Caenorhabditis elegans: one gene and its partners. The protein of the gene in region 2 interacts with the protein of the main gene of each other region in a pairwise test. Each region holds a gene or a part of one and is shown on either strand. Other genes may lie near its edges.

What was found.
Region 1: the proteins of nhr-67 (region 2) and sem-2 interact in a two-hybrid assay, tested with the Caenorhabditis elegans proteins (one large-scale study listed by BioGRID).
Region 3: the proteins of nhr-67 (region 2) and cebp-2 interact in a two-hybrid assay, tested with the Caenorhabditis elegans proteins (one large-scale study listed by BioGRID).
Region 4: the proteins of nhr-67 (region 2) and flh-2 interact in a two-hybrid assay, tested with the Caenorhabditis elegans proteins (one large-scale study listed by BioGRID).

The regions. Positions count from the first base shown.
Region 1 is NC_003279.8:5,202,311-5,210,795, forward strand, and holds sem-2 (Transcription factor sem-2), read right to left. Parts: upstream 5,819-8,485; 5' UTR 5,812-5,818; coding exon 5,611-5,811; intron 5,274-5,610; coding exon 5,010-5,273; intron 4,491-5,009; coding exon 4,083-4,490; intron 4,035-4,082; coding exon 3,921-4,034; intron 3,227-3,920; coding exon 2,999-3,226; 3' UTR 2,220-2,998; downstream 1-2,219. Other genes in the region: osr-1 (TPR_REGION domain-containing protein), read right to left, coding at 1-243, 373-491, 544-861, 1,051-1,096. UniProt on the Caenorhabditis elegans protein: Probable transcription factor required for embryogenesis, vulval development and cell fate specification of the postembryonic mesoderm (also known as the M lineage).
Region 2 is NC_003282.8:11,166,757-11,176,385, reverse strand, and holds nhr-67 (Nuclear hormone receptor family member nhr-67), read right to left. Parts: upstream 6,639-9,629; 5' UTR 6,553-6,638; coding exon 6,516-6,552; intron 5,226-6,515; coding exon 5,125-5,225; intron 4,510-5,124; coding exon 4,412-4,509; intron 4,315-4,411; coding exon 4,185-4,314; intron 3,977-4,184; exon of another isoform or gene 3,847-3,976; intron 3,238-3,846; coding exon 2,968-3,237; intron 2,918-2,967; coding exon 2,748-2,917; intron 2,337-2,747; coding exon 2,061-2,336; intron 2,013-2,060; coding exon 1,844-2,012; 3' UTR 1,595-1,843; downstream 1-1,594. UniProt on the Caenorhabditis elegans protein: Orphan nuclear receptor that binds DNA containing an extended core motif half-site sequence 5'-AAGTCA-3'.
Region 3 is NC_003279.8:6,250,172-6,255,185, reverse strand, and holds cebp-2 (CCAAT/enhancer-binding protein homolog 2), read right to left. Parts: upstream 2,105-5,014; 5' UTR 2,103-2,104; coding exon 2,005-2,102; intron 1,960-2,004; coding exon 1,872-1,959; intron 1,825-1,871; coding exon 1,708-1,824; 3' UTR 1,602-1,707; downstream 1-1,601. Other genes in the region: let-611 (DNA-directed RNA polymerase III subunit RPC3), read right to left, coding at 1-36, 82-144; lpd-2 (LiPid Depleted), read right to left, coding at 346-472, 520-835, 880-1,129, 1,175-1,312, 1,360-1,485; cof-2 (Olfactomedin-like domain-containing protein), read right to left, coding at 2,386-2,592, 2,657-2,758, 2,807-2,911, 2,954-3,113, 3,170-3,267, 3,526-3,623, 3,668-3,791, 3,834-3,926 and 2 more. UniProt on the Caenorhabditis elegans protein: Transcription factor that binds to the promoter and the enhancer regions of target genes. Regulates expression of genes involved in fat metabolism, including ech-1.1 and fat-5.
Region 4 is NC_003281.10:4,949,715-4,957,376, reverse strand, and holds flh-2 (FLYWCH transcription factor 2), read right to left. Parts: upstream 5,254-7,662; 5' UTR 5,245-5,253; coding exon 5,011-5,244; intron 4,885-5,010; coding exon 4,423-4,884; intron 3,969-4,422; coding exon 3,693-3,968; intron 3,517-3,692; coding exon 3,289-3,516; intron 3,205-3,288; coding exon 3,103-3,204; intron 2,857-3,102; coding exon 2,746-2,856; 3' UTR 2,206-2,745; downstream 1-2,205. Other genes in the region: C26E6.1 (Protein kinase domain-containing protein), read right to left, coding at 3-486. UniProt on the Caenorhabditis elegans protein: Probable transcription factor. May bind to the promoters of target genes, including micro-RNA genes, in order to repress expression, and acting redundantly with flh-1 and flh-3.

The DNA of each region.
Region 1 (8,485 bases), on a different chromosome or scaffold from region 2:
TTGCATTCTTTGGTCCACTCGATTCATCATCATCCGTTGTTCTTCACCTCTTCCACCGGCAACTGGGGCATTTTTACCTAACATTGCTCTTTGAGCAAGAGCTTGTTGGAACACTGACGATGGAGCAGCTTGAGCTTTTCTCATTTGTTGAGGCATTTTAAAGGGGTTCTTGCCAGCGATCATATTTGCAACGAGTCCTGGGAGAATTTGTGTTTGAAATTTGTCCATTACGGCTTTGGCAATCTAAATTAGAAACATTGTTAGTTATAAAATTAAGAAAATCATTCTGCAAACAATAATTAAAAACCCAAACAAATGGGAAAAGGGAGTTTCTCTAATATTTTTTAAAACTGCAATTGAATTCACACCAACCTGTTCGGACGGATCCGTATTTTCCATATCTCTCTGCGTTCGGATAGCATCTTCTAATCCACGAATACTGCTACCAATTGGGATTCCATTTCCATTCAACATATCGATAAATGCATTTCCTGAAATTCAAATTTGTTTTCAGAACAGTTACTGAAAAAGTAAAATGAAAACCTGATTTAGGCTGTAATTTTGCCATCTCCGCCTGTTGCATAACTGCATCAGCTGCCAAATCATCAACTTTTAGCTTTTTGTACTTATCGAATTGATCAGGATGTACTTTCTCTAGAACTTCTAATTGAGTCTTAAATGCTCCTTTTGCCATTTCCATTTGACCTTTTTTGATGAGAGCATCAACAAATTGAACACCCATCAGTTCAAGAGCTTCCATTGATGGAGCCAGTGGTAGTTTTTGATGGCTTTTACCTACGAGAGATGACAACAAAGCTCCCGGAGCATCGGAAGTCGATGGAGATTGGGCCGATAATGGTGCTGGAAATTTTCTAAATATTTTCCCTTTTTTCAATTTTTCCTCATAAATCATCACTTAAAAAAATGTTAGGATATCACAAAAAGTTCAGCCAAAGTATTTGATAAATTGCCAAATTTTTTAAAGTTTCTGATTTTTTTTGAAACATAAATTTAACAATGTAATCTCTAAATATTGAATTTAAAACTAACCGATACAAAATCCTAACAACAGGAATAAAAATAAAAATAAAATCATTTTCGAATCTTTTACGAAAGTGAAATAAATAAAATGAAAATGCGAAAGAGAAAATCTTTTGAAAGGGAGAAGTCGTGGAACTGGATGAAAACAAGAATGAATTGATAAGAATGGCTAACGACGAGAATATCACCTTCTGACATAGGTGAACCTTCGGATGAAACTTGTTTCTTGGGTGGGAGAGGAAGGATTTGTTACATCAGCATAGCTTTCATGGATCATCAATGCGTTTCGATTTGTTTTTAAGGGTTTGTTTTTTTAATTCATGTAATCAGGATGTTTATACAGTATTGACTCTGTTGGTCTTGCTTGCAATTCGATCATTATGTAGGAGTGCTACTGAATCCCTTTCCCGACTTAAAAAACAACTCGGTTCGTCTTTTTTTTTGCAATTCAAACAAAAAAAACGGTCGTGCGCCGGTCGCGTGTTCGAGATGCCAATCTTAGAATTTACCCGGTTCGTTTGACGACCGTTAACGTCGTTGGAGGTCGGTGTGATTTAGTAATTTAGAAGAACTTTTTGAAGATTTTGAGTTGCGATAAATTGGGGAAAAGAACTTTCGAAATGTCGGAAATTGATGTCCAATATTTGGAACGAAAGATAAAATAAAGAAAAAAAGAGAAAAAGAAACATGCCGACAAGTTGAGGTTGTGAAGGACGGATGATAGAATGCACTATTTATTTGAAGGTTGTTTTTTTTTCAAAGCTGTTGGAGCCAAAAACAGGGTGTGACTTTTTAAAGCAGGTTTCAGAAAAGTGCCAAAATTCCGAGAATGACATTGCAAAAAAAAACAAGAGGTTCCAGAAAAGCGGCTTCCCGACTGCTCGGTTATTGCAGTATTCACGGAGCAATTGTTCTACCAGCACAAAAATTGATTTCAGGCCAGGATTGAACTGTTATGTTAAATTGTAATATGTCATACATATTTTACGAGACTGTTTACGAGACATTATTTAGGGAAGTTTTTTCAATTTGTGTCACACACTTGCCGCAGCTGCCAATAACTAATTAATAGTAGAAAATTGCTAGGTATTTACCTGAATTTTAATTTACAGAACAGAAAAAATTAATTAAACGTATATTATTTCCACAAATCTATGTATTTTGAAATCAAAAACAAGTTAATTTTTTAAATGATTTTTATTGCTCAGAAAAAGGAGACAAACATAAATCAATCAATAATAAATGAAATCAAGAGGAAGAAATTCATTCAATACTGAAAATTTGGAAAGATGAGTGAAAAAGGATAAGAGATATTTAGAGATGAACAAGAGAATAAATATTTCTTCAGGTTTGGGAAAAAGGGTAGCTACATTTGGCATATTGTAGAGGGCAGGGGATGGGGGGAAGTGTTCAACATATACAATCATAATTTCGTGCTTGAAATCTCAGAAATTTTTTTTTTCAAGTACAACGGCGAATTGGGTAATCGATGAAAGTTGAAAGAACGAATGAAAACTGGCTCGGTAAAGCTGGGAGAGGATAAAAATGGGTAAAGAAATGGGGACGATACTTTTGTAGAAGAATACTTTCAATTTGAAATTAGTGAATTACTTTTTGGATTTGTAGAAATACTCTTAGGGTTTCAAGAAATGAAAGAATACAATCGCTTGGATTTGTTGAGGAAATACTGGAAAACAAAGAGAAAAATACAGAAAAAGGTGGTAAATAACTAGAAAATGCTGGGGATTAAAAGGTACTAAGACCGGACTAAAGGGACACTCGAAAATTGTTGGAGAGAGATAAAGAGAGAATTGTTTCAGGGGAGAGGCTAGAATTGAGGTAGGAGCAGAAAATGTTGGGCTTTCAGAAGAAACAGTGAAAAAAAACATTTGGACGTAGCGATCTACTTACTACCCGAACTTTCAGAAGTTTTCAAAAAAAAACTTGTCTGAAATATTCAAGAAAAATTAATATCAATTCCCAATGCATCGCTCCATGGATAATTGACCAGCTCGCCTGTGGTTACAGTTGGACAAATCTGCTCCAGGTCATCCAAATGTGTTGTAGTCGTAGCGGCCGTAGCCATTGTGACGACTCCCGCCGAGTTTGGTGATGACGTTGATTGTTCAGAAGCACTACAGTCGGCGTATCCCGAAGATCCAGACGATAGACTACGCATGTCGTCCTGAAACTCATGAGTTTTGAACATTTCATGAGGATATTGTGCTGGTGGTGTTGAAGTTGGTGCTGGTGATGGTGCGAAGTGGTACATGTTATAAAGATTATGATTCTGAATCATTGGGTTAGGTATCTGAAGGAAAACAAGCGGTTATTAGGATGTTAAGCATGGATGCTGGGAAGGGATTGTAGTGGAAAATGGAGTACGGTAGGATTTACGCTAAAAGGACTAATAATATAAATTTTCAAAATCCAATGGCCAGTACTAAGAATTTTATGATTTAAATGTTTTTCAATATAAAAGATGAAATATCGACAATGTATTAGAAACTACTTAATCCACTTCAGAAAAATTCAAAAATTTTTGAACTTTTTTTAAAATTTACAGTCAACGGGTTTTAAGTACTAAACCTAAGTAAAAATTGAATCACAAGTAAGTGTTTCTATAAATTCTAAGGGCTCGAACAATTTCTCATAAAGTTAAATTTCTTCGGAAATTTGATAATTTGCAAAACTTTGATTGAAAATTTTGACAAATATAAAGTATTTTGAGTGATTAATTATTTTCTTTAAGATAAAATTCCCCACCTTTCAGAAAATAAAATTTGGCAATTTTCTAAATTTTTAGCCACTACATCCTACCGTACTCCCAAACAAAAAGTGCTTCAAACAAAATCTCATGCAAAAGAGACAACCCGTACCTGATCAACTGATGGTGGTGAAGTGTGCAAGTAGAAAGGATGATTACCAGCTCCAAATCCCGAATTATGCCCCATCATTTGTGGTGGCATTCCCATGTCCATACCAAGATTCGTCTGAAAATATTGAATTTTCCAAGCATTTCGTGATCTATAAAAACTAACCATTCTGAGGGGACTTCCTGCCGAATTATGATGTTGTGATGCAAAATGCTGTTGATGATGTTGCTGTGTAAAATAGTCATCATAAAATCCAGATTCAGGTGTCAACGGAGCATGTCCAAACTCGGAAGGTGATGGATACGATGGATGAAATGGCATCTTTTGTGCATGACTCATATGAGCATTTCCCATCCAATCTTGCTCCACTTTCACTGATTTAAAGTTTTGGAATTGTTGTGTTTCTGACTGTTGATCTGTGTTTGGACGTTTTCGTTGACGAGCCTGTGGTGATGCTCCACGTGGTGGGGCCTGTTGCTGTTGTGGAGCTTGGGGTTGAGCTGGCTGCTGAAGTGTTCCATCTGGATTCTTCTTTGGCTTCTTGCGTGGCTTGTATTTGTAGTCTGGATATTCCTGAAAAAATTTAAAATTACAATACAATTATTCGAAAAATCCGGTTACAGTATTTCCTGTGTGGCACAGAGGTAAGCTACTATTTGAATATTCTAAAATTTGATAATTTGGCAGTTGCCAAAAACGTCGAATATTTAAAAATTTCTGAGATTCGGAAAATCACCAAAAATAAAATATTGGAATTTTTAGTTTTTAATGAAAAGCTTATATTGTTTCACCTACCTCCTACACTGACTATAGTAGAAATTTGTTTTTCGTTCAAAATTCAAATTTTTTTTTCAAATTATTCTCTTTTTTTTTAACTTTTTTGAACTCGATAATTGTCGTATTTTTGAATTTCCGAAAATGCCGATTACGGAAAACTTTTGATTGGTATGAAGCCTCTATTATCAGCACAATACGTTTTGAAATTATTTAGTGAAAATACACTTGTTCAAAAATTATTACTGTATTTCTTACTTATATAGAAAATTCGGTATCAATATTGAATTGAATTAAACTATATTCTCCCATACTAACCTGCATATGACAAACTCTGAGTCTCTCAGCTTCAGCAACAAATGGAGCTTTTTCCTCATCAGTCAAACTTCTCCAACGACTTCCCAATTGCTTACTGATTTCTGCATTATGCATATCTGGCTGATGCTCACAAATCTTTCTCCGTTCCATTTGAGACCAAACCATAAAAGCGTTCATTGGTCGCTTGATGTGATTTGATGACTTTTTGCAATTTGTTGCATCCGAATACGGGGTCACTGATTTGGGAATCGCTTGTTGTGCATGCTGAAAATGTATGGATTTGTTTCAGAGCAATTTTTAATTTTTTGGTACTTCTAGGTTGAGAACATTTCTAAAAGTGCAAATGTCAAGTAACTGATAAGAAAAGAGTTTTCAAATTTGTTGCTCTTCCACTCTAGAAGTTTCAAAAAATAAGATAACAAGATGACCAGTGCAAAGTATCATGTTTTTTGTTTTTACTAAATTTATTACCTTGTTTACTAAAAAATTATTACAAAAAGGGCTGTGTCCACTTCCTGATGTCCTTTTGACAGCTTATCACTTATCAAAGTGTAAAGCCCATTGTTTCAATATTTACAACCAAAAAAACCGTATCACAAACCTTATAGCCTCCAGCTGCTGTCCCATATGGATGATGTTGTAATTGTTGTGACGTGGCAACCGAGTTAGACGATGTGGCATTTGTGGCTCCAGAAGTCGATGAGGCTACTGCAATTGCGGCCGCAGCCCAGTTAATCGGCGGCATCATATGCGGAGCCATTCCACAATCCAGCATGAAGTTGGGCGGTTTTTGGAGATCCATTTGATATCTGAAATAAAAAGTAATACGAAAAATAATATTGTTGAAACGGAAAGTGGAAAAATTAAAAGAGAAAGGTAAGAGAAAGTGAAATTCAGGAGACCGAATTTCGGCAGAAAATATAGGGAAAATCCAAAAAGAACGAGAGTTAGAGAGAATAAGAGATTCAAAGATGTCTACGATCCGTTTCCATGAGAGATTTCTACGAGGAGATAGACAAGGTGGCGTTCAGTGTATCTTTAGTACAGTATACTTTAGGATACAAGTATACGGTAGAATCTACCAAGAGTATACTTTTCCAAAAAGAAACGTAACCAACTATACAATTAGAAACTTTCAAGTAATAGTAAAGCAGGGTTCTAGTTGCCGGTCACTTGCTTACTGATAAGAGCCAGCACTGATAATTTTTTCCTGGAGAAAAGCTGGAACATGTGCAAAAGTATGGAAAAGGAGAGAGACGGCAAGAAAGGAAAAAATTCAAAATAAGAACTTAAATATCAACAATCATGACTACCACGATTCTAGCTGGATAAGTTAATTAGCAAATGACCGTAGGAGCTTAATCTATTCAATTTTTGATGATAAGCCTGACTGATTCTTCTTCGAGATGATCAGGTCAAACTGCCTTTCTGTCTCATTTTCATTTCTCTCTCTCTCTCTCGAGAAAAGGGATGTTGTACAACCCAATGACAAGAGTGATGACATAACAATACAACACAATAGAATAAGGGGGAGAAGCATCAGAAAACTGGTATTTTTAGAAAGGGGCAAAAACGAAGTAGGAGAATGAAGCAGAAGCTGTGTACTTCGAGAGTGCGGTAGTGAGGCTTCTCGCATGATGTAATGGTTTGACATTTGGTAATTGTAATTGGCATTGGCCAAACGAGATGATGTACTACTACTGTGTGTATATGTACGGTAGATTGGCATGTCATGAGAGAAATGGTTTGGAAATGGAAGTTTTCAGAGAGCAAAAGGTTTGACACATTTAGAGAGCATTCATCTTGGAAACCCAAGTACAGAAAGTGAAACAATACTATATAGAAAAGAATATCAAAAAGGGTGCCAAGAAAACAGAAATGAGAAAAACTAAATGGTAACAAGTATATCTTCCTCCTTACAACCACCGCCTCCCGTCCTGAAAAAGGCGTGTCTAGACCGCCTCTACGGCACTTTGCAAAGGACCACGAGGTGCCAAGTTATTTGCGGCAGAGTTCCGAAAGGAGGCAAGTAACTTGGTACATTGAGGTGGCTAGATTGCATGGGAAATTGGATAAACAAGAATTTTGGGATGAGTTAGACATGAAACTCAACTATTGAAATTCTGAATATAACAAAGATAATTGTATTTCCAATGAGAAATAAGCAAGGTATCTAGACAAACATAGATTTCTAATTCTAATAGATTCTTAAATGAACTGAAAAAAGGTGGCTTATATTTTTGATGCATACTTTGGTATTTTTTGGAACATTTCAAAATCTCTGACCGTGAAAAACCTTGCCATGTTCGATATCAAAAAAGTAACAACAAAATATTGGGTTAACTTTAACTGAAGAAACTCTCAAATATGCTTATTTCTAAAGAAAAGAGCTCCTAACTTTTGCCTACACAGTTAATTTGTCATGCTTTCAGCAGGTACCTCATAGACATTACGATGCACGATGTACAGATCGTCAACGAAGTCGGGCACTATATGCACATGGCGACTCTAAAACAGTCAAAATATGTGCCCAACGATATCGAAAGTTATGTGCAATTCTGCTAGACTAGCACACTCCAAACTAAAACCTATGATCAAGTGGTTACTTGATAACTACAGTAACCTTGATCCTTCTTCGAAACCAGCTTTTCCTTCTCCTCATCTCATTTAGCGTTCACTCTCGAATGAATCATGACTTCTGCCCCCTTACACCTTTCCTCCAAAAAAACTGTATTATGTAACTTTTTGGAGGTAGAAAAGAGGAAAAGTGTTCACAGTCTCGACGCTCGGTGATGCCTTCAGCTTCTGATGCGCAGAAGGAGAGAGAGAGAATCGCAAATCGGCAGAATTTGGAACCGGTTCTCAACTCAGGAAGGGGCAAAAGAGGGGGCAGAAGAGGTGAAAGTGTCTCGAGATCATCGAGAGGAAGACGGCTACTGACTTGAAGAAATGAGAGGAAGGAGGGAAAGCTGTCTTGTATTACAACAGCAACAAAAAACAGTTTCAGATACAAGAGAACATAACACTGAAATTTTTTTAGAGAAGGGAGGTCACGATATTGGTCAACAATCTCTTTGAATAAAATTACAAAAAATTAGATTTTCAGACATCAAAGCATAGAACGTTTCAAAAAATTGATTTCTAATTTTACCAAGTATTTACAATCATGCCTCAAAAAACTTTAAAACTCACTAAAAAGCTAAATGCAGTTTTAATTGACTATTTAATCAAAACTACAAAATCCAAAAATTTGGTACATCTTCAAAAGTATACTAAACATTAAAAAAAAAACCTTTGCAAGGCGGCAAGATGACAAATGGGAGTGTATGGTACCAACTTGCCGGTGTCTTTTACATAGGATATCGATTAGTAAATATCGGCTCAAGAGAGGGCACGAGGCGGGAAAAAAGGTGAGAAGACGGCAAACGTGGAGATGTCTAGTGAGGTAAAAATCTATTATTGACTGTTATTTGTCA
Region 2 (9,629 bases):
ATAGAAAAAAGTTTCGTATTTTTTAAATGTGATATTTGACGAATTTGGCATCAGTTACGATACTCTAACTTCAAAAGACTAGTCTGAAACAGTATGAAACATCAAAGTTGAAGAAAACCCAGTGGAACCTGAAGTTAACAAGAATTGAGGAAGTGTCATCAGTTGGTAGGTATCACAATCAGATTCTTTCAAAAGAATTGAATTAGAATGAACATGACAAGAAACGCGAAAAAAAATAAGAATGTGATTACACACATACAGAAAGAAAATGAAGAAACTGAGAAGGAGAAAGGAATGAAAAAAGAGACAGGCTTTTTGTGATTTCATGTTTCCCCATCTAACCACATTCTCCTCATTCTCTGGTGTTAATTAGCTGCGAAACGAATACGGTTTCGTGATGGTTTCGCTTTTTTTTATTTCAACAAAAATGGGTATATCTATAGAACTTTCTTCTTCAAGTTAATTGGAGGAAAAGGCAATAAATCAGATGTAAATGTTTGGAAATGCCACAGATGATTAGTAAAAGTGAACACTTGGTCTAATAAGAAGTGTCTATTTGCAGATGTTGGGTATATCTTTAAAATTTCATAAAATAGGTAAAATCATTATTTAAACAGATTTTTTTCCATAGTTCCACTGTTGTGATTGTAAAACATTACTATACTTTGACTACACATTTCTCTGTTCGTTGCACAATATTTAAAGTTGTTTTTAAGTTTAATTTAGTTCAATATTTAAAGAATCTTTAATTTCAAAACTATAAAAAATATGTGTCAGTTGAAAAATTTTGATAACTGGTAAAATTGAGCAAAACTGTTTTACATATAAAAATGGTTTCTTTAGAAATCGTTTTTAAAAGTAAAATGCCCATGCCCAAATATTATGGTAAAACTTTTAAAATTTTTTTGAAATAAATATTTTACTGACAGTCAAAAATTAGTGAAGCCTACGCCTATAATTTTGAAAGTCTTTGAAAAAATATCTACAATTTTTTATTGTTTACTTGCTTTTCAATTTTTGTATTCAAACAGTCTGGGAGTTCGAAAAAGCAATTACTGAAAATATTCCATGTTTTTTGAAAATTGCAAATAGATACCGAAACTTTGACTAAAAACTTTGAAAAATCTTAACCATGTTGGTTATTTTTCGGATGTTCTGGATGTTCAAAAATGAGTTTAAAGCATTTTCTTTATAATATTGGTTGTTGTTCTGTTAGTTTAAAACTTTAAATTAGTCAATAAATCTCAATAAAAAATATTCTAGCATAATCAGGTTTATCTACAAAAACGTAACGCGTTCAAACTATTGACAAAACCATAAACAAATCATTAAAAAGGGGGAAATCAGTCAGCTAATGATTTGGTCATCTAGTTGAATGGGAATATCAGAATGATATGGATATGATAAGAAACGAGGCCATTAACAAGGAAAACGACGATGACACAATATGACATTCAACCGTTCCATTTTCCAATAAATCTCTCGGTTTCTCTCCCATCATTTATTGATTTCTATTGTTTTTTATGTTTCGAATCATATGTAGTCTTCTCAAAACTGTATGATTCACCTTTTTTTAATGATGTTTGTATGCCAATTGCCATTGTTGTAAACGTTTTATTCATCTGTTCACAATATAAATCAGAAAATAATAAATTAGTTTTAAAGCTTACCATTTTTTTTCTCTAAATTTAAATTAAAAATTTACAATTGAAAAATGAAATTTTGAAAGTATAAATCAAAATCCAATGAAAATCCGGGCGAGGCAAGAAACGGAGTGAAAAAGACAATGAAAAGAGATACTTAGAATAATTGAGTTACTGTATATGAAACATGAATTTACTATCTAAACCTCTTCAACATTAACACTCTCTTCTTCTTGAATTGATAATAATTCAGTTATTGATCGAATCGAATGACGTGGTCTTGAAGAGGAAGGGGATGATGCCGATGAAGGCTGAGTTGAGGAATTAAGAGCCAAGAAAAGTTGAACGGGATCCAGTTCTCCGACAGATCTGCAACAGACTCAGTTAATCCACTGTACTAATAAATGCTCATCATACCTATCATCAGTAGAAGAATTTTCATCAAATTGATTGCTACTCGTCGCATCATCCTCTTCTTCAATATCTTCACCCTCTTCAGTTTCGGTTTTTTCTTGTTTTAATAGAAAGTTCAAATTGAAGTTTGCCATTGGAAACAGTGACGTAGGAGTGGGTTGTTGTGGTGGCTTGAACATGTCTTGAATAAGTCTTGGCATTGAAGCTGATCCAATTGAAGGGCGGAATAGAACATCAATTATTGAAGTTGTTGGAATAGCGGCAATTGCATTTATACATCTGAAATAGGTTTCAGACTGTGAAGTTTTCAGAAGGAAAGATGGTACTAGAGCGTTTAGTTTTCATTAGTTTTCAATAATCAATTTCGCTTTTTAAGCAAATAGGAAATAATTTGCATTTTTTGTGAGAACAAAAAACACTGCTTTTTTAATTGTGGAATTTTTTATATTTTGAGCCGAAAAATGAACTTTTGAATAGGATAATCGTACAAAAACTATAAATGAACTTTTTCAATTGGTTAATTAATTAATTTTAAAAAAGAATTAGCAACCTTCAAACTAGCAAATACAATATTTAATTAACTTTGATCGTTGCAACCCACTCAGAAAAACAGCGTTTACCTTTATAGTGAAGTCTCACATTATTCCAAAAATAAGAAAATTGAAAAAAAAAATAAAAAAAGGAACTTACTGGATATATCTCGTCGGTTCGGTTCTATGTGTGAAATTCTGAATAGATGCTAACTGAAAGACAATTTGAATTGCACTTGGTGTATCTCTCCACATTGTGAAATGTTTCAACATCATGTATTCTCTATTATCCAATTGTAAACGTTCAATTATTTCAAACGCGTTAGCAACCTGAACATTCATTAATTTTTCAAAATATTCAGATTCATATTACTGCATACCGCATTTCTTTGCTCTGAGCTACCGGATATCGTCTCAGTCCTTATTTGCTTAGAAGTTATGGCACGTGTTTCAGTTGCATGGAGAACAAGAAGTGCTGCCCAATTTTGTTGAAACATTGTCATTTGCCGTTCTTTAGGTACTCCATTCAAAGGATTCTGACAAAATCCAACAAGTGCAAAAAAGATTCGAGCAGCAGTACCGGCCACTGTGTCACGATTCATTGATGATGTCGGAAGAATTATTGCATCACTTTCTGATCCCATTTCCGGCTGAAATGAAGGAAAATTAAAATCATCTACTTAATAATATTAACTTTTTCACTGAAAGTTAATTATAGAAATTTTAGACATAATTTCCTCTTGTATACGATATTTGCTAATTCTTCCAATCAGCTGTCCCTAACAAGTACTTATGCAACATAATCATTTGACACTATGTTGTCCCCACTTAAGATCCATAAGAGCACAATATTATTGAGTAATTTGTATCCGAATACAAATAGAAACATTAAAACATCTGCCCCAGAATACACATATATTCACAAGTTTTTGAAACTGGCTGATTTTTCAAGGTGCTCTTTTTTAAAGAATCTGTCACGGTTTTGGCACGTATTTGGTGTTTAACTGATAATTAGAGGATATTTTTTTGAAATTTGACGTTTTGAGAAAAACGTACCACAAAAAAATTAAAATGTTTTGTTTAATTCTTCGATAATTGCCAATTCAAAAAATTGCCAACTTAACGAATACTCAGCACTTCCGGCAACAACCAAGTTACCGTGTTGTAGAAAATTGCAATTCATTGCAATCATATTTCTGACCATGCTCTATATCCTAGGTGTTCCCTTCGCCAGTAAAATGTTTGACTATGTTCAAGAGTGACAAATCACCTGTCAGGTGGTACTGTAGATTTGTACAGCAACCGACAACTTTTCACCTTTTTTACTTTTCGTCGCCGCCGCGTCGGTGTCAACTCGACCAAAATCCACCTGCGGATTACTGTACTAATTCTACTCAAAATCCTTTTTTCACTTCACTTTAGTCACTGATTTTTGTGAGTGAGAAAGAGAAAGATCGGTAATCATGAGATTTAAATGGAACTATTTTGAAAGTCATTATGAATTCAAAACTAAATTAGAATCGATAAATTTAATTAAAATTATTAAATATTTTGTCCTTGTAACATATCCGAATTTAAGATTCCCACAAACACATACCGAATTAGGAGAGGATCCATGATCGAACATCATCTGTTGTCGTCTTAAACTTGAGTTACGAGGCCCTCTCTCATGTTGGACAGCATCTTTGTTCATCCCAATTTCCAGACACTTTCTTAGTCGGCAAGCTCTGAAATTCTCCAAGTGTCATCAATCAATGTATGGACTCGAACGTAAAGAGCATAAAAGGGGATCGTAACACTAATCTGTGACCGTTAAGAACTCACCTGCACTGGTTGCGGTGTGTTTTGTCCACTTTGCATTGTCCTTCGGATGGACTGCCTTTGTTTTTGCACACGTATTGACGATGACGACGGATTGAACGCTGAAATTTGGAATTGTTGTTCAATTTCAATGATAATTATGCTAAGGAAATTTGAAAGTCAATTCACATTGAAAAAATATTTCATGAGGTCTCAAATCCTAGACATACATTATAATCGGAGCAGAACAAAGTTAATGTTGCAAAATGATTGTAGACATTTTTTGTTGAAGATTAACACATTTTTATCTATCCGGAAATTCAATAATATAACAATTAGTTTCAGCAAAAATTAGTACCTTGTCTAACCAAGGTGTGCGCTTTTAAAACGTACTGTAGTTCAATAAATTTGTTTCTGTCGAATTTTGGATGGTTTTTCGATAAAAATATATGTTTTTTAATAAAATTCAGATGTAACACATACATTTTTAATAAATCAGGAGAAAAATTCGGCAGAAACGAGAGTACATAATTACAGTACAGTTTAAAGGCACATACCTTTTCCCGTTTAATAAAAAAAATTCACATCGAGACCGGTTACCGTATTTTTAGAGCAAAAATGGGAAACTTTCGCGTCTAGATAATACTTTTTTAAAAATTTTCCACTAAAATTTACTCTCAAATTCGAATATTTTAAGCTATCTAAAAAATGAGAGCTCAATAAACATTAAAACTTACTTTAAAGAATCCAGCACACCCGTCGCAGGAAAAAATACTGTAATGCTTCCCCGACGAATGATCTTCACAGACTCTACAATCAACATCCAATAGAATTCGACCTGAAGAAATAATCATTTTTAGGTGTGAAATAGAATGAGGAAATCAAGAAAGCCAAGAAGGAGAGACTCCAATTATTCAGCACTTCCTGTGTCTCTTGCCTGCCTAATTAATAGAATATGAAAAGAGAATGAAGGCAGAATGGAAATGGATTTGTTGAAAGAAAAAGGCAAGAAGTGAACAATATTTCAAATTGAGTTTCTACTTCTTGGATATTGAGTATTAGTTTTGATGTTGTTCGTATGACTTTAAAAAATTAATTTTATTTAACATCATGACCTTTCAAATCAATTCTAGTTCTAGCTAAATGGTGCTAAATCCACAGGTGCCACGTGTCACAATTGACCCGAAACACCTGCATCTCCCACAGAAACTCTTCCATTCTTGTACTAATTCCATCACCTAACTCATAATTCACACCTAATCATTTCTACCATAATATTGAGTCACTATGTTTAATGACTTCCTATTTTACTTATTGGAGTTCTCGTGCCGGGGAGATTAGGAAAAAAAAAGGAATTTTTATGAAAGTTTTATGTGACTTTTTAGTTCTGAAATCAGGGTTCTGAAATAATGTCTTAATTTTTCAGTTAGAAATTTTTTCTCACACTGAAATTGATATGCATTCAAATTATGATATTCACATTAGACATTTCTTCATTTTCTTTCTTCATTCACACAAACTAGTTTAGGTACAACTACAGTAACCCATCTGCACTAAGGCTTCTAGAACTCATATATAAAGATACATGGATTTACTGTAGTTTGTATATTAATGGATTTATCCCATGGAAGAAGTCAAGGTTCAGATTTTGTTAAATTTGAAGACAATGGGTAGTAAAAAAATATTTAAAAAAAAACAGGAGTATTTCATAGGGTTTTCAAAATTTTGTGAAGGTATCAAAATCCTATACGTATGTATCTTGCCAAAAAAGCTCCCACTTTTTTTTTCGATATTATGCACTTCCAAACCCATTTTTAGGAAATTCTTCCCTAAATATTTCAAATTAATAATAATCTACTCTGAAATTGAAATTAAAATGAGAAAATAACAATTTTATGTGGCTAAGAATGTGAAGTATGCCCACCGGGCAACTCATCCTACGTTTATTAATTGCTCAAGATCCCAATTTTAAAATCTGAGTTTCTTTTGAAGTTGGGAATTGGAAAAAAGCTTTCTACAGCTAAAGCCTGGAAGTTTAAGAAAGCTCATTTTTCCAAGAAAGTTCGAAGTAGAAGTTTTCATCTTCTGATTCTAGATGTTGACGATTAACTTTTTAAAATTGACTTACTGCTTGGAACCGACATCTGTGAAACCGCAGTCATCATTCTTGGCGCCAGATTCATTAATTCAAGAATTCCGGAATATTGAGCACACAGATTCCCAAAAGACAAATTCTCTCTTCTTAAGGCGAGAGTGAGAGGCAGTCGGAAAGGCGAAGGCGAGTCACGTCGTCAAATCATGGGCGGAGCTAGCGACCACCACTGACAGCCGACGGAGAGAAAGCGAAGAGAAACGACTCTGAGGGATACTGTAGACGATGCAATAAGCCACGCCCTGATTGATTTTGAGAGTTTTTCTAGTGTACTGTTTTTCAAATATTCAATTTTTTGTTTTCATAGTATCCAGGTGAATGCCAAATTATTCAATTGAGTGGTAGTTTTATGTTAATAGCTCAAGTAACATTGTTCAGAGTACAGAAAATCTAACTGAGGTGCTCTTGTAGTTGAAATGTTTAACTTATTTTGGAAAACTATAAATCTGAAAACCTAGACCACTGTAAACTTTACTAGTGTGTGAAGTTTTCAAGCAACCACTATGATTGACCACACTCTACTCATCTTTTAATTTAACTTTAACTCGGAGTTTTCAATTTTTATTTAATTTCAATACATTTTATCTGCAGTTTGACTTGAACAAATTTTGAAACTTTCTCAATTAAGAAGTGGTTCTTTTCTGGGATTCTGGTTTTTTCGGAAAACAGTTCTGTATCCTTGGTCATGTTATTATATTTGCCCTATATAGTCAATATTACTCTTGAAAACTCCCTTCCTGTCGGATCCTTTTATTGCTCACGGAGCATCCACCTCATCCCAAAAACTTTGTTCTCTTTTCATCCCGCGCACAATCACCACACACTTCTTGCCGTTGTTGCTCCCATTCTTCAGAATGCCTCCTCAAATCTTTTTGGAGGCACAAGTTGAAGGAGTTTTGGAAGACTCAAAAGAGCTCAAAAGACCCGACGACATCCCTGAGAATACTTGACCATTCATTGTCATCAGTAAAGACTTTATGATGAAAAGAATTGGAGCAAAAGTTTTGAGCAGAGGAATGGTAGTTTTGCCGCAAAAAGTTAGATGGAGTCTGGGGTTCTATGTGAAATATGTAGTAGACTGTTTTGAGAGAAAACTTCAGGTCGTGTGAAAAATTAAATATAAATATTATTTTAGGGAAACTCTAGGTTCCAGACTTGCTTGAACCACAAACGTAAAACTGACGAATTTCAAGCTGTATTTTTTACAAACTTCATTTTCAACTTTATTTTTTATATATCAGTATCAGGCATATAGTTCTCTCTCGGAGAGCCAGAACAAAATCGAACCAAAAAACCAATATCCCTTGATTCATTAAAATTTTAATTTTCTTTGAAGTTAGTTGCTGAAAACTTTAACATTGTAACACCGATTGTAAATTCTTAGATTCGTTATTTAATGTTCTACCCCTCTTGTTCTTCAGTAGGTTGTCACAACCAATTCAGTGTAGTCTATAGTATTAGGTTTCTAAGCAAAAAAAAAAACAGTAAAATATTTTTCCAGCTGCCAGGCTCATGGTATTTTAGAACCTAATAAAATTCTTCAAATGCTCATCATATAAATTGAACTCTCTGTGGCTTGTACCACAGGGTACGAACATGACCTCCATTTCATTTTAGTGGTGAACACCTGCATTTCATTTTGATGCTTACGCAATCAAAAATACTTTTTTTTCTCGATTTTACCCAAGAGTAAGACAATGTGTTGGGATTTTACGCAATATCGAGAACGATGCAGGAAAAGGTCGTTGAAGAGAGATAGACAGACGAGGGTCATACAGGTGTGAACTTTTGGAAAACTTAGCGAAATGGTGGGGGGGGGGGGGGGGGGAAGTAAAATGAATAGATCTTCCAATGTTACATTGGATTGTAAATTATTTATCACAATCATGTTTCCGTATAGTATTGCATCCCATCGCTCTATGTACTTGGACAGCTTATGTTTCAGTTGTCTTTTGAGTTGGTAAAAAGTTATCAACTGACAAAACAATTTATATTTTTTCTATAGTGCTTCAATCAGACTTGTGAACAATTTTTCATCACGTAGGCATTAACTTCTCTCGTTGGGAGGCGAATTTTGTGGAATCCCTAGTATTCACAGAATTTCAAAATCCGTAGGAAACAGAACGTTCCGCTTCAAGGCGCACAAAAACTTGATAGCATACGGAAACCGCTTCATTTCTATTTTCAATTTCTAATTATAGTTTCACTGAATCAATTAATCGAACTTCTGACAGAAACTTTCCAACTTTAAATTGTTTGAAATGTACCTGGAATTAAACACGGACTAGAAAATGGGATGATCATCTTATTGTTCAATTCTATGAACCGGAATTCTTTAAAAACTATTAGGTTTCATCCATTTCAAGCCGACAAGAGCTCCCCACAGACTGTTCATCACATTGTTCCCTCTAATCTTCTTCCCACGTTTTGCGCTAAAGTTTTGTCACACCATATGTCGGCTATTTGTTGTTTATAGGTAAGTGGTGTCATAGCCAAAGGCATATAATATGAAGGATATAATAAGCGGAAGCTATTCTCATTCTCTCTTTCATTCAGAGCGGCGTTAGATTTCGCGCATGCACCGCCCGTGTCACACATACCTCGAAAGCCCCCACACAGATAATTGTCGATTTGAATACGCATCATTGAGTTGGCAAAGAGCCGTTTACCGTTTACCGTAGTCGTGAAGTTAGTAGGTAACATGGGAAAAAGTTTGGAAACATTAGAGTACAAGGGTTTCGTTTGGGAAGAAGTGGAGTAAACGGGTGAAGTGATTTGTTATACTTTGTACTGTTAGTTGTCTGATAGAGATACGTTTCTATTATTCAAACTTGAATTTCATTCGAACCTTTTAATTGTTTGTAAGTCCTGAGAGAACCTTTATAATTATATTGGCGTCTTGTCCGACCTGCAAGTACTGCTTCTAAATTTTTGATGGTACACATCCTTTTTTCACTACTTTTTTATAATATTTAAAACACTGAATATTTCAATTATGTGGGCAAAAAAGTAGATGTATCTTTTTGATGTGTGTATTGCTTTTTGCCAGCTATACCGTAATCCCAATGATTCTAAATTCCGTTTTCACAT
Region 3 (5,014 bases), on a different chromosome or scaffold from region 2:
TTCTTTCAGAATCGTCTCCATTACTTTCGCCACAATCTGTAATTCAAAAAAAGTTTAAAAAGAAAGTTTTTAAATTCTTACCTTTCCGAAAATATCTTCGATGATAATTACACACATTTGAGTCTCATACTTTCCACCACCCATTTTTGATCTGAAGGTCTTTTAGTAAAAAAGCTTTCCTTGGAAGTTTTACAGATATTTGGCTTTGCAACCGCTCTGGAAATTGTTTTTTGAAAATATTTTTTTTAAGTGTTGTTTCTAATACAATAAAAACAAGTAAAACAAAACAAATAAAAAGTTAACAAAAAATTCAACAACTGGCAAATAAAAATGCAACAAAAAACATTATTGTCTTCTGCGAATAGCCCTTTTTCGTCCTTCCTTCTTTCCTTTTGCCGCTTTCTTTCGTTCCTTTTGGGATTTTTTGTGTCGTTTTGTGTCCCCGCCAGCACCAGAAGATGTAGCACGCTTTCTGAATAATGGATCATATGTTGGACAATTTTAAAAGTTAAAGATTACCTTTTATTTCCTTCGGAAAGTGCTCTACCATCTTCTCCTCTCATCATATAATCTCCAAAACTGAGCAAATCATCAAGAGTTTCCGAACGTCCTAGTTGTTCGCTTCGTCGTTTCTGATCCTTATTCAATCGAATTCTGGTGAAGTTATCCTCCTCATAACGTTCTCTCTCACGATCATATTGATATTTCTTCTCACTCATCTCTCGAATTTCTTCCGGAGCATCACTGTATTGATTTTTGAGTTCCATAATAAGACTACTTTGCATTGCACGACGTTTTGCCTTTTCTTGTTGCTTGTTCGGAGCTTCGTCTTCTTCTAAAATGAACATAACTTTACGGAAAACTAATTTTTGAACATACCTTCATATCGAACTGCTCTAATTCTTGGTGCCACATATTTCTTAACTTCCTTTGCTCCTTTTCCTTCCTCATCATCTTCATCTTCCTCCTCTTCTTCTTCATCTCCTTCAACGTCCATATTGTCTAATCGAACTCTGTGATTTCCCTTGGAAGAACCATTTGATGCTCCACTCTCGGCGCTTGACCGGCCTAGTAGCTTTTCAATTTGAGGTTTCATCTTATCCTCGACTGGTTTCATTTTTTCAATGAACTGAAACTAGTTTTTTAGGAACAGTTGGAATACTAAAATACATACCACTCTATGCTTTAAAGCTCTTTTAACAGATGGTTCTACTGTAATTGACTCTCCTTTCATCATTTTCGACATAAGGACAGTCAACTCTCCAAGGTACGCTGTCATTTCATAGTTTTTCAGCTTCAGAAGACTAAGCCCCTGTAAATAAAAAAGTTTTTGAATAAATCTTGAGGTTTTCATTTCACTTCTTTGTCATCGTTCGTTTCCTCCATCCGATCGAAAACTTTACTGAAAGCTTTTACTGCTTCTGCAGTTTGAGTTTCCAGTTCTGCCACTAAATCAGCAAACGCTTCTTGCTCCGTTTCGGTCATCTGAAAGAAACGTTTTTTTTGATACAACACAAATTCAAAAAGTTAATTAATAAGATCATTCAAGATAAATTGTTGGAAACGTACCACACAAAAAAAAACAGTTTAAAAAAGAAAGTAAAGCGTTTTCTAAATTTATTTTTCTTTGGTTATTGGAATGCGTGAATTGAGTTATTTGTATAAAATTTACAGAAATGGTGGATAAATCTTTGATTAAATTGTTATCTACACGGCGGAAGAAGATGGTGGTGGCGGTGGTGGTGGTCCATCATTTCCGTCGTTTTTCGCATATGCCATAAACATTTCTTTAAGAAATGATAACTCTTTCTGTAGCTGCTCGACCTGATAGAGGGAATTAATTAAAATTAAAAAATCAAGTAAACAAGTACCTTTCTTTCTAGTGTTTCGTTCTCCTTTTTTAATTCGTCTACTTTTTCTGCAGTGTCATTTTCTTCCTGGCGTTTTTTTTGTCGGGTTCTGGAATTTTTAATTAGATTTTAGCGGCTAAAAATGAAATTTTACCTGTTCACAGCTTCGTTATTCCGTTTTCGTTTAGTGGAATAGTCATCTTCATCGTCCTCACGAGGCTCTGATGTGTTTCGCTTCCGATTTCCACTCATCGCTTGAAATTGCAACAAAAAATCGAGGAAAACTATGGAATTAATAGAAAAATGATGGAAAAAAGGTTTTGTGGAATTACGATAAAGTACGCGCGAGTGTGTAAAACGGAGCGTCGTTGCGTGAGACACCACAGAAATTCGAGAAAGGGGAACTAAAACTCCTGAAAAAATATATAGGAAAGAGCTACTTTCACGATATTCACGATAAATTAATTACTTTATATTTCTCGAATAAAACTGAATTTATTTTAAAATATAGTAAATGAACTATGTACTACACAAATTATTTAGCCAGCCAATGCAAAAGTGGAGGTACAGAGAGCATATAACCATGATCGTAGATGTAAATTCTCTTATCATAAGCATTATAGCTAATCATATTGGCGTTCTTGTACAAATTAATCCATTTAATCAAAGGTTGGGAGTATGTGTTTCTGTAGAAATCGTATGCCGTAGAGATATACGTGGATTGTTCTGATGCACTTTCCACCTGGAATAATGTTGATTTGATTTTGCTATTGGTCAAGCTTGATATCAAATAAAAAATTCTAAACCAAATAAATTGTTCCACAAACGACGATTCCATTTGCAACATCTGTATGATTTACTGTCGTGAGGTTGAATGCCTCATAAATTGTCAAATTATTTATATCCACCTGGAATAGTACCTAGTAGATAGATTTCAATGAACAACTTAAAATTACTTTAGCTACTGATAAGAAAGCTTCTTCCTGATAGTGAAACATGACCCAAAGTGCATTTTCATCGATTGCCAAGTCAAAATAATTCATCGAATTATTATAAAGGTACTGAAATTGGAAACTTTGACTTAAAACAATTTCAAAACTCACCTGATCCCCACGATAAGCTGCTCCCGGTATTTCAAACTGTGAGTACTGTTTCGAGTTGAACTCGTATTTTGCAATAATTGGATATCCTGCTCTTTGATAGAAAAGAGATGCATTGAAAATAACATGATTTGTTCCATCGAATATATATGGAAGGCGATGGCTGAAAAAGAATAAAAAGTTCTCAAATATTTGAAAAATTTTGAAAGAAAACCATACACTTTTCCGACATGGTCCCGTCGCATTTCAGCTTCATTCCTAAATTCGATGAGCTCGTGGCCTTGGAAATGGTTCATTACGTATCGTTTTCTAGCGTCCTGAAACAAGATATACATATGTTGAGATATGCCTTTCTCATAATGTACAGTATACCAGTACTCGGCGAACCAGTGAGTTTCGGTTTGTGACAGCTTTCCAAACTTTTTTTTACTTTTTCCCGGTTTTTTAGCATTTTCATGCCCGAACGTCTCGACCGGAAAACGCCTCCGAAAAATGAACCACGAACATACATACAGAAAGAGTTGAATAAAGTGTGAGCAAATTTTTCAGTTCCATTTTCAAGCTCCCAAACTTACATCGCCGGTTGGAGGGTATGCATCTCTCATCCAGCTTCCATAATATGTTGTAGAATGAGAATGGAACACAGGTTTTCCAACGTTTTGAAGTCGGCAATCTTAACATTCTTCAACTCCTTTTAAGACTGAATATAATACTTACGGGCAGTAACTCCTTGAATATATGCAACTGGAGTCGTAATGGTCTCTTCAATTTCTTCATCGAGAGTGTAGTTTTTCAAACATATTTTCACGCATCCCTCGACTTCACTGTAGTTGGAAAGGATCTGAAAATATGCTTTGGATCTGAAAGTTATTACTGAAGTCACCTGCTGAACCAATCCAGGCATTGGTTGATGTGTGACTGAAGGCCAGGGAGTTGTTGGAATGGCTTCTCTGTTCGGGCATTCCAGATTTTCAATCTGTAAATTCTTTCCTTCTTTGAGAAGCCCAGAGAAGCTAGGTTGTTAGACAATCTACATAGCTCACAGAATCTTGAACAACTTTATATTTCAGCTAGAAGTCACGATCTGCGACCTACCTTTCTAGGTTGTAGGTCCAGCCCCTTTCAAACTTACAGTAGGACATTTGAACTCCCTTTCCATCAACAGCTCATCTCTAATCGGGCATGAAGAACAATCCGCATCTTTTCCAATATTTCCAGGTGGTCCCACAGGTCCAGGGTGCCCTGGGATTCCCATTAACCCTCTTCGTCCTTGTGGTCCAGCAGGTCCACTCTTTCCAGGTGGGCCTACAGGTCCAACAGGGCCCGGTTTCCCGCGCACGTCGTCTTGTTCACTACAGTATTCATGAATTTCAGTACATTTGTGCATTAGCTCTCCAATTTTTACAGAAGACAAGGATGTTAGCCACAGGATGTCTGAAGCATTTTTGCCTCTTGATAGGGGAATATCACGTTTGGAACGAAAATTTAGTTCAGTGAGAGATTGACATTCGGATTCCAATGTCCAAATTCTGAAATTAATTTTTTTCTGCAGTTTTTTTATAATATATCTTCTTGATGAATCACTTGCCTGTAATGAATATGAGAAAACGCGAGAACAGCAATTAATGTGATTGCTAAGTTGCAATAATGTAAATTTTCTTCCATTTTAGTTGAAGAAACTAGGCTCAATCAATAGGTTCCTATCAGTAAAAGCTTGATAATAAAAGTAATATATTTGGGTGGTATAGTGAAATAATGTGCACATTTGAAATGAAATATGATTCCAGCAAATAATTGGAATAAACATTTTGTGCGAAACTTTTTGTTGATATTCGCTGATTTTCAGTTGCGACAGAAGGCGATGTTAGAGCAAAGAACCGGTGTTCTTTACAAATATTTGTAGGTTTTTCCAAAACTGTAAACTTAGCATATTGAGCCATTAACACCTAAATTCGTTTTCATCATATCTATCTGAATATGTGTTCAGAGTGTGAAGTGTATGTAGTTTGTAGAGCTCCAAACGTTTCTGGTTAGTGAATAAATTGAGTCAAACTTGTAAACACT
Region 4 (7,662 bases), on a different chromosome or scaffold from region 2:
ACCATCGAACGTGTTTCCCTCGTAATCGATAACAGTTACCCAAACTCCACTCGTCTTCAAAACATACTCCGTGCCTTCGACTTTGTAACAAATTGTCTCCTTTCTCGTATCATTAATTAAAATGTTTCTTTTGTGGAAGTCATTGTGCGAGTATCCACTCTTCTTTCGAGCAGCGACCAAGAAAAAAATGATTTGGCATATTACACTTTTGACTTGTTCGTCTGATTTAAACTTGATTCTTCCAGTCAGCTCACTTCCACACATTTCCATAAACATCGCGAAATGAGTCTTATGTGGCGATAATGAATATTGTGAACAGACAGTTGTTGGGATCTTCGGGAAGATGCAAGAGTGCAGAAGCTTTGCTGTGTTCGGAGCACTTTCACATATTGAATTGATTTTCGTTGCATTGTCCACCTCCTTAAGGCATCCATTTTTTGATGTCGCATTAACCCGAGGGACCAGCTTTAAAGCGACTCCTTTCATTTTCCATTGTATTATTGATAAAGTTAAGCGAAAAATGAAGTAATTTTGTCACAGACTGCGTAAGTTTACCTTTCAAAAAGGTTTTACTAACTACGTGGAATTTTTTTTTTAATGATTTAAAATATTCATAGATTCAGAACATTTCGAAATTATTTTTTCGATGACGTTTTTCGAAAATTTCCATAGGTTTTGATGAATAATGCCTTTTTTTTAATTGCGGGTAAAACCAGGATCTCACTGCTATTTCTGTCTTTTTAGAGTGTGAAATCCCGATAAATCTTAATTCCCACATTAAATGTACGATTTTCTGAAGTTTATTTAGAAGCTAAAATGATAGAGATCGTGGCGAGACCCAACAAGAAAAATAGCGAAAACACGTTCACCCAAACGATAATAAAATATTTTTTCGAATTAGAAGCTGGAAATGAAAGAGAAAAAAGTGTAAAAGCAAAGTGTTAAAATCGAAACTGATCATTCTGACGAAAACAGAAACCGACATAAGCTTCCATGTCAAATCAACTATTCAGACGTACGTGCCTGTCTCATGACTGCCTTCCCAGCAGCCGTAGGTCACCGTGAAGGCTTACAGGATAACATTTTTGTGCGTACTTCGTAGGTTTGAAGTTAATTGAAAAGCTTTGCGCGTGCGAGAGTGTGCAAGTTTGTATGAATTCTTTCATTCTTCTCAAACTAAGACAAGTATCAGATCTTATGCTGACAACTCGATTGAATACGATGATTCAGTACGGTTTGACCTCCACAAATATTATTTTCAGAAGGTTCAAGCAATGGTCCAAGGAATTGAAATAGAGCTTTGAGCGATTAGTTGAGTCACGAACTTACTGTCAAGGTACTCTCCGGCCATACCTTTTTCTGAAATTCTCGGAATAATTTCTATCATCAGTCTTGAATCATTGTTTCAAACCAAGCAGTTTTTATCAATGACTTACATCTGTGTAATCTTCAATTTTCAAGGATCTTCAATGTATTTTGATATCAACACTATTCAATTTTGATAATGATTGTTGCAGTTGCAATGATCGAATTTACAACTGCACTATTTCTCTCATATCTCTAAAGAACAATTGCAAGATGGTCAAAACAATCTTGACAAGTAAAACTTGATTTTCGCACACTTAAAGCAATAATTATGTCTCGATCAGATATTTAGCTAACATGTTTTCTATTGTTTAAGATAAAAAACGTTTCAATTTGTTTCCTAGCAACGTTTTTGATGTAATCGTCAATGTAACAGCCACAATTGTATGAGCGTCATGTTCTTTCTACATATTTTTGATAATGTATAATTGGAGTCTAGACCGACCCTTACTACAGGGTGGCCCATAATTATGCGGACCGCCAGTCTGAAAAGTTAACAATTGAACATCCGTGTTCCGAGTTTATCGACAAGCTGTAAGAATAGTTTTCAAAATTAAAAAAACACTAATTTTGTCATATAAAACACAAACACTCACTTTTACTAGAGGAGCAACATCTATTAATTCGGCTCTTGAAGATTCTAACTCGACAAAAATGTCACGAAATTTGATGAGTATTTGTTGGAGCATGTTGGAGCTCTTTTGTGATATTTTTTGATGAATTCGGAACTTGATGACAAAATTGGTTATTTCTCATCTCTTTGCTACGATTAGGTACTCAATTTTTCATGGACTTAGACATACTAATGCTAGAACACAATGGTGACATTATAGCAACATTTTTTACTTATTCATGTTCAATTGTCCACTTTATATATATTTTTATTTCATAGAAACAATTTATTGATGTAAGTGATCAGGGGATAATTGTTAGTTGAACGATATCATTTTATCAAAAGAAAAGGAGCATATAAAGGGGGTTTTTTCCTGAGTTGGAGAGGGTGGTTTCCGTAATTTTATAAGGGGGAAAGAGCACAATAAAAGGGAGACATAGAGATTGGAATTGACAAGGAATATGAAAATTTGCGAACTTTTCTGAAAAGTTCACAATGAGATCCGGAAATGGGGGACCTGACGACGAGCTTTTTTGTTGAGAAACAGACAAGATTATAGAGACAAGATAAGGGAGAGGTATTGAGAGGGGAAAATGGCTGGAATAAATTTAAAAAAAAATTTACAATTTGTAATTATATGATTGCTCCGGGAGCTCGATATTATAGGTTCATGACAACTAATAAAATGTAGCGTGCAGCGAAACGTTGCAGTCGGTCAAGTTATAATTTCATGACTCCAAACTATCGATTAATTGAATAATGATCACTTAGACATGGTTTAAAGGCTCGCCGAAAGCGTCGACGGGCGTTAGACGCCAGAGAGCCGGTGCATCAGTGTTGACGAGAAATAGTTTTCCGTGTGTCCAATTGCTGATTAGCTGAAAGGTTCAGAAATGCTTAGAAAAAAATGACTTGATTTAGATTTTTTGTAGGATAAATTTGACAAACTGCCAAACTTTCGAAAAAATCTTCGAGCTTTCCCACAGGTCTTCGAGCTTCCCCTACAACAAATACAAATAATCAATGCTAAATTTCGAAAAGTGGAAGAGTTTTCTCATATTCACCGCCACGTAGCAAAACTCTACCAGGGCTCATGTCTAGTCTTAGAAAATTGATTCGCTTACCGCTTCATGTACAAGCACATTAACCCTCTGTGAGTAACACAGAGCAAGTTTTCCTTCGCAACGTTTGCCAGTGAATCCTTCTAACGCAGTGATTAGGGATTTCTGAAAATTATAAATTTTTAGGAAATAATTGTTGATTGTTTTCTGCTTTCAGTCTTTCGGGCTTCCAGAAATTATATTACTTACCTCATCACGATTCATGACAACCACCGGAAAGAAGACATTCTCTTCTGCTCCATTATCATGTGATAAGAACAAAAGAATTGACCCTTCATCTCCTTGCCATCGAACTCCAATTTCAGTTTTTGGCTTCATCATTTCCATGAGCTTTTTGGTCAATTCGTAAGTGATACGGAATTCTTCTTGTGACATCAATTGAGATGAATCTTCTTCTTCTTTAGGAGTTGTGCGTTGCTGAAAATATTAAGAAATTCCAAAGTTGTTCGAAATTTTCGAATTTGGCCCTGAATTTTAGAAATTCGTATCATTTTTTTTAGTTCATTTCCGTTTTTCTGGCTCAAACCTATAGTTTTGAAAAGTTCCAACCTTATGATGTTTGAACAAAGCATAATTATTCAAGAAAAACAAACCGATTTCAAAGTGATAGGCATCACAGTCGTTGATACTCTTTTCTGTCCAACAACCGGCGGACTTATTCCAGCAGAAGTTGCAGCTGCAGCCGCAGTTGCTGCTGCATTGATTGAGGCGAGAAGCATTAAATTATTGTTTTGTTGAAAGTTTTGAATTGTTTGATTTGTCGTGTCAACTTCCATTGGTTCAGCTTTAATTTGTTGTGGAGCAATTGGTAGAGCTTGTGATACATGTGAGGCACGGCTCAGTTTTCGTTGCATGTAGGATCGGTTGATCTAAAAGATTTCAATTTAAAAAAGATTGGGAAATTTTGGAATTCTTAAATCAAAAAACATGAAATTAGCAGTTACACATAATCCGAATGTTTTATTAACAATAAGTGTTGTGCCTACCTGCCTGCCTACAGGATCTACCGAAAACTAAAAAAAAACTTTTTTATTTTGGCTGGTTTCCCTGTAACCCCCCGCGATGAAAATCCACGCCCACTGCGTCTTTAAACTCCGCCCACTCCGTCTGATTGGTTGGAAAATGAGCGGAGCGAATCGCTGATTGGTCTAACATTTATCATTTTAGAGGAAGTTCAAGCAGGGCGATTAGTAAAAATCGAAATACATATAACGTTTCGGCGTACATACATTTTCGTTCTTTCTCGACTTTTTATTTCTAACTATTTTGAATATTTCAAGTTTTGAATATTCACCATAAATCTTTTAGCTCAAAAAAACTCACACTTTTCACTGGATGACAATAATTTGGATGGAGAGTAGAGAAATCTTGCTCATAAAATGCAAGTTCTTCGGGCGACGGTTTCTCATGATTATGTGGATGTAACTTTCTCACAATTTCTCGTGTATTGATATCTGAATGCATTCTTGCATTACAATCATTCTTTCGTTCACATCTCCAAAATTCTTTAGTTCCACAACACGATTTCTTATCAAATGACATGATATATCCATCTGCATACACTTTTTCTCGCACATTTCTCGGTTTATATTCGGGTTCTGTGGACGATGATGACGTGGATGTTGCGTTTGATTGTCCACTGTTAGATACTGCAGTTGCAGTTGAAGACGGTGATGAGCTGGCAGATGGACGTGTATCTTCAGATATTAACTGAGATGTTTGGGATTGTGGATCAAGAAGTAGAGAGAATGCTTTTAGATTTGTAGTGCCAAGGGCTTGAAGAGTCTGAAAAATAACAGATAGACTTACTCGAACATGAATATCTAAAAAGTCTTTCAAGAGAATCAATTTCACATCTATAACTCAATATATTAATCAAGGAGTCAAAACCACAAAGAGCCCATCTCTCACCTGAATAACATTCGTATAGTCAATATCTGCCAAATGTTTTTGCGAATTGGTTCCATTCACCGCTGCCTGCACAATCGTTGGTTGTTGTAACAGTAATCCGGCGACTATTTGCTTCTGTGCCAACATCGCCAGTTCATTATTATTATTTCTGTTTGGTGTCGTCGACGGTAGTGGAAAGATCGGAGGAACCGCTGTGACACCATCTGTATTTGTGTTCATCATGGTGTCCACCATACAGGCGGTCTGAAAAGAGGAAAATTAATGGAAAATACGATGAATTCAAAACTATCTACACGGTATGTCTCAATTGTTTTAGAACATTTGAATAACAAATCCAAGAGATGCAAGAAGCGTACTAATAGAGGAATTAAGTGACAATTGCGATTAAGGTGAACAAAAAACAAAAGTAAAGGGAATATTAATATTTAGGTGCAATAGAAGAAAAGGAAGTGGTACCATCGGAGAATTGAAAAAATATGATAGGGTTATTCCAAAATTGTGAGATCATGAGTTTTCTCTGGTTTGGATTGGGATCTACAAAACTATTTTACTAGAACTTGTATTTTTTTTAATCAGAGAGCAAACAAGGACATTCCAATTCACCTCTAATTGTAGTGCTTTCAATCTTTCTAAACCTCCTCAACATATGATAAAAAGTTATTTAGTTGAAAATATTTTGCTAGATTGCTTTTTTTCAAAAAGTTCAAAATTCGTAGACTTCTTAAAAATATTTAGATAATGTTCCGATGTTTTCCAAAATTCCAATGAATAGTTTAAGATTGCCCTCTTCGAGTTGTTGTAAACATAAAAAATGGAAGAGAGTGTGCTCTTTTGACAGAGACTGCACTAGTAGTAAACGATGCAGTGAGGGGGAACAAAATGGTCGCGCCAGGCGCCAGCTGGTCGCAGCAGGGGTCCGTCCGCCGGTTTGGAGCCTCTCCCCTCTCCCGGTTTCCATTGGCTCCACATCAGTAGAATCCACTAAATATATGCGGAATGGCGTCGGGAAGCGGCCGCGGCGGAGGAGAGAGGGAGGAGGACGCGGCGACGGACGATTTATTGGCGCCATGCTGTGTTGGTTTAACTCAGTTATTCATCACTTTTGAAAGATACAAATTTAATGAAAAAGTGACAGAGATAATGAAAGAACCCTAGAATTAGATGGTAGATTGGTCAAAAAAGTAAAAACGCAGTCGGAGGCGGCCTATACCTAGCGGGAATTTCGTCTAATGACGCGAATTTTAAGAAATCAAGACAATCTGAAAAAAAACGAACTAAGCCTAAGCCTAGGCCTCATCATGAGCCTGAGCCTGAGCCTGAGCCTGAGCCTGAGCCTGAGCCTGAGCCTAATCCTAAGAGCAATCATAAGCCCAGGCCGGTCTGCAGACCCTTAAACTTGCGAAAGTATTGTACAAGACTTGCGGTTTTTCTTGTTAATTTCATAAACTTATGATTATCTGTAAAGTTAGCTTAACATGAATAATATGTAAAGTCCTGACCGGAAAAAACAATTAAATATTCAATTATTACAATGTGGTTAGATACTAACGAAAACAATCATTTTTTAAGCTTACAAAAAACTATATGAATAACAATATAATTAAATTTTTAGAAAATATAAATATTAAACCAAAAAATACCAACTTGGAATGCCCTTTTCGTGAGCTCAATGACTCCGTTGAAGCGGAGCCAAAAAGCAGAAGGGACCTGACTCCCAGAGCCCACGAGAAGCGCCAGGAGAAGCGCGCGCCGAAAAAAGATGGATAGAGAGAAAAAGAGAAAAAGAATGAAAAAAAGAGAGAAGCAGTCAGATGACCGACGCGGCGCCAGTCAAAATAGAGGCGCTCGTGGTGGAGTGAGAGAAGGACGGGGGAGCGAGAGTAGAAGCAGAAAAAAAAGAAAAGAAGACCACCCAAACAAGCTCTTTCTCTCTTTTTCTTTAGACCAACGTACCTATTATCGTCACCGCTTCTTCTTCTTCTTCTACGCCTCTTTTTTCTCCATATTCCCGTGTCACCATCACCACCTAGTACGGCAAAAAACAAAGGTGATGGATGGGAAAAATGAAAATATTCACTGAATTTAGTGGTTATAGATCTAGATTTTTCAAGTTTACAAGAAAAGTAAGACAATGTAACATCAGGCTCCAAAAAAGATAGATTTTTTGAAGACTTTCATTTTTTTTTTTAAAGTTCTAAGTTTTTTGAATCTATTGCTCGCGCAAGTGAAGTCAAAAAAATTTCAGATTCAAAAATGTATTTCCTTAAAGCTTTCGGAATTTTCGCCTACTTCTCTTCGTCTATTAAAATCACAGAAGTCTGCAAAAAAGATCTCTTGGAGCAGTTTTACAGGGCTCAGATAGAAATTTCAGCTTGAAAATAATATTCCTATCTTGGTTACATCATTTTAATTTTAATCTTTAGGCACCAACGGATTAAAGCTAAAAGACATCATTTTTGTGAGCTATCAAAATTTCAGAGTTTTGTGGAAATGGTCAAAATACCTAAACTCACTAAATTGTGCATTTCGAAACATTAAATTTACTTCTCGATCCTCTAATTACAGTACACCTTTTACCTCATCTCATAGAGGGTATATAGTTTTTATCAAATTGTCAAAAATTTCAACCTACGGGTTACGGCTTGTTTAGTA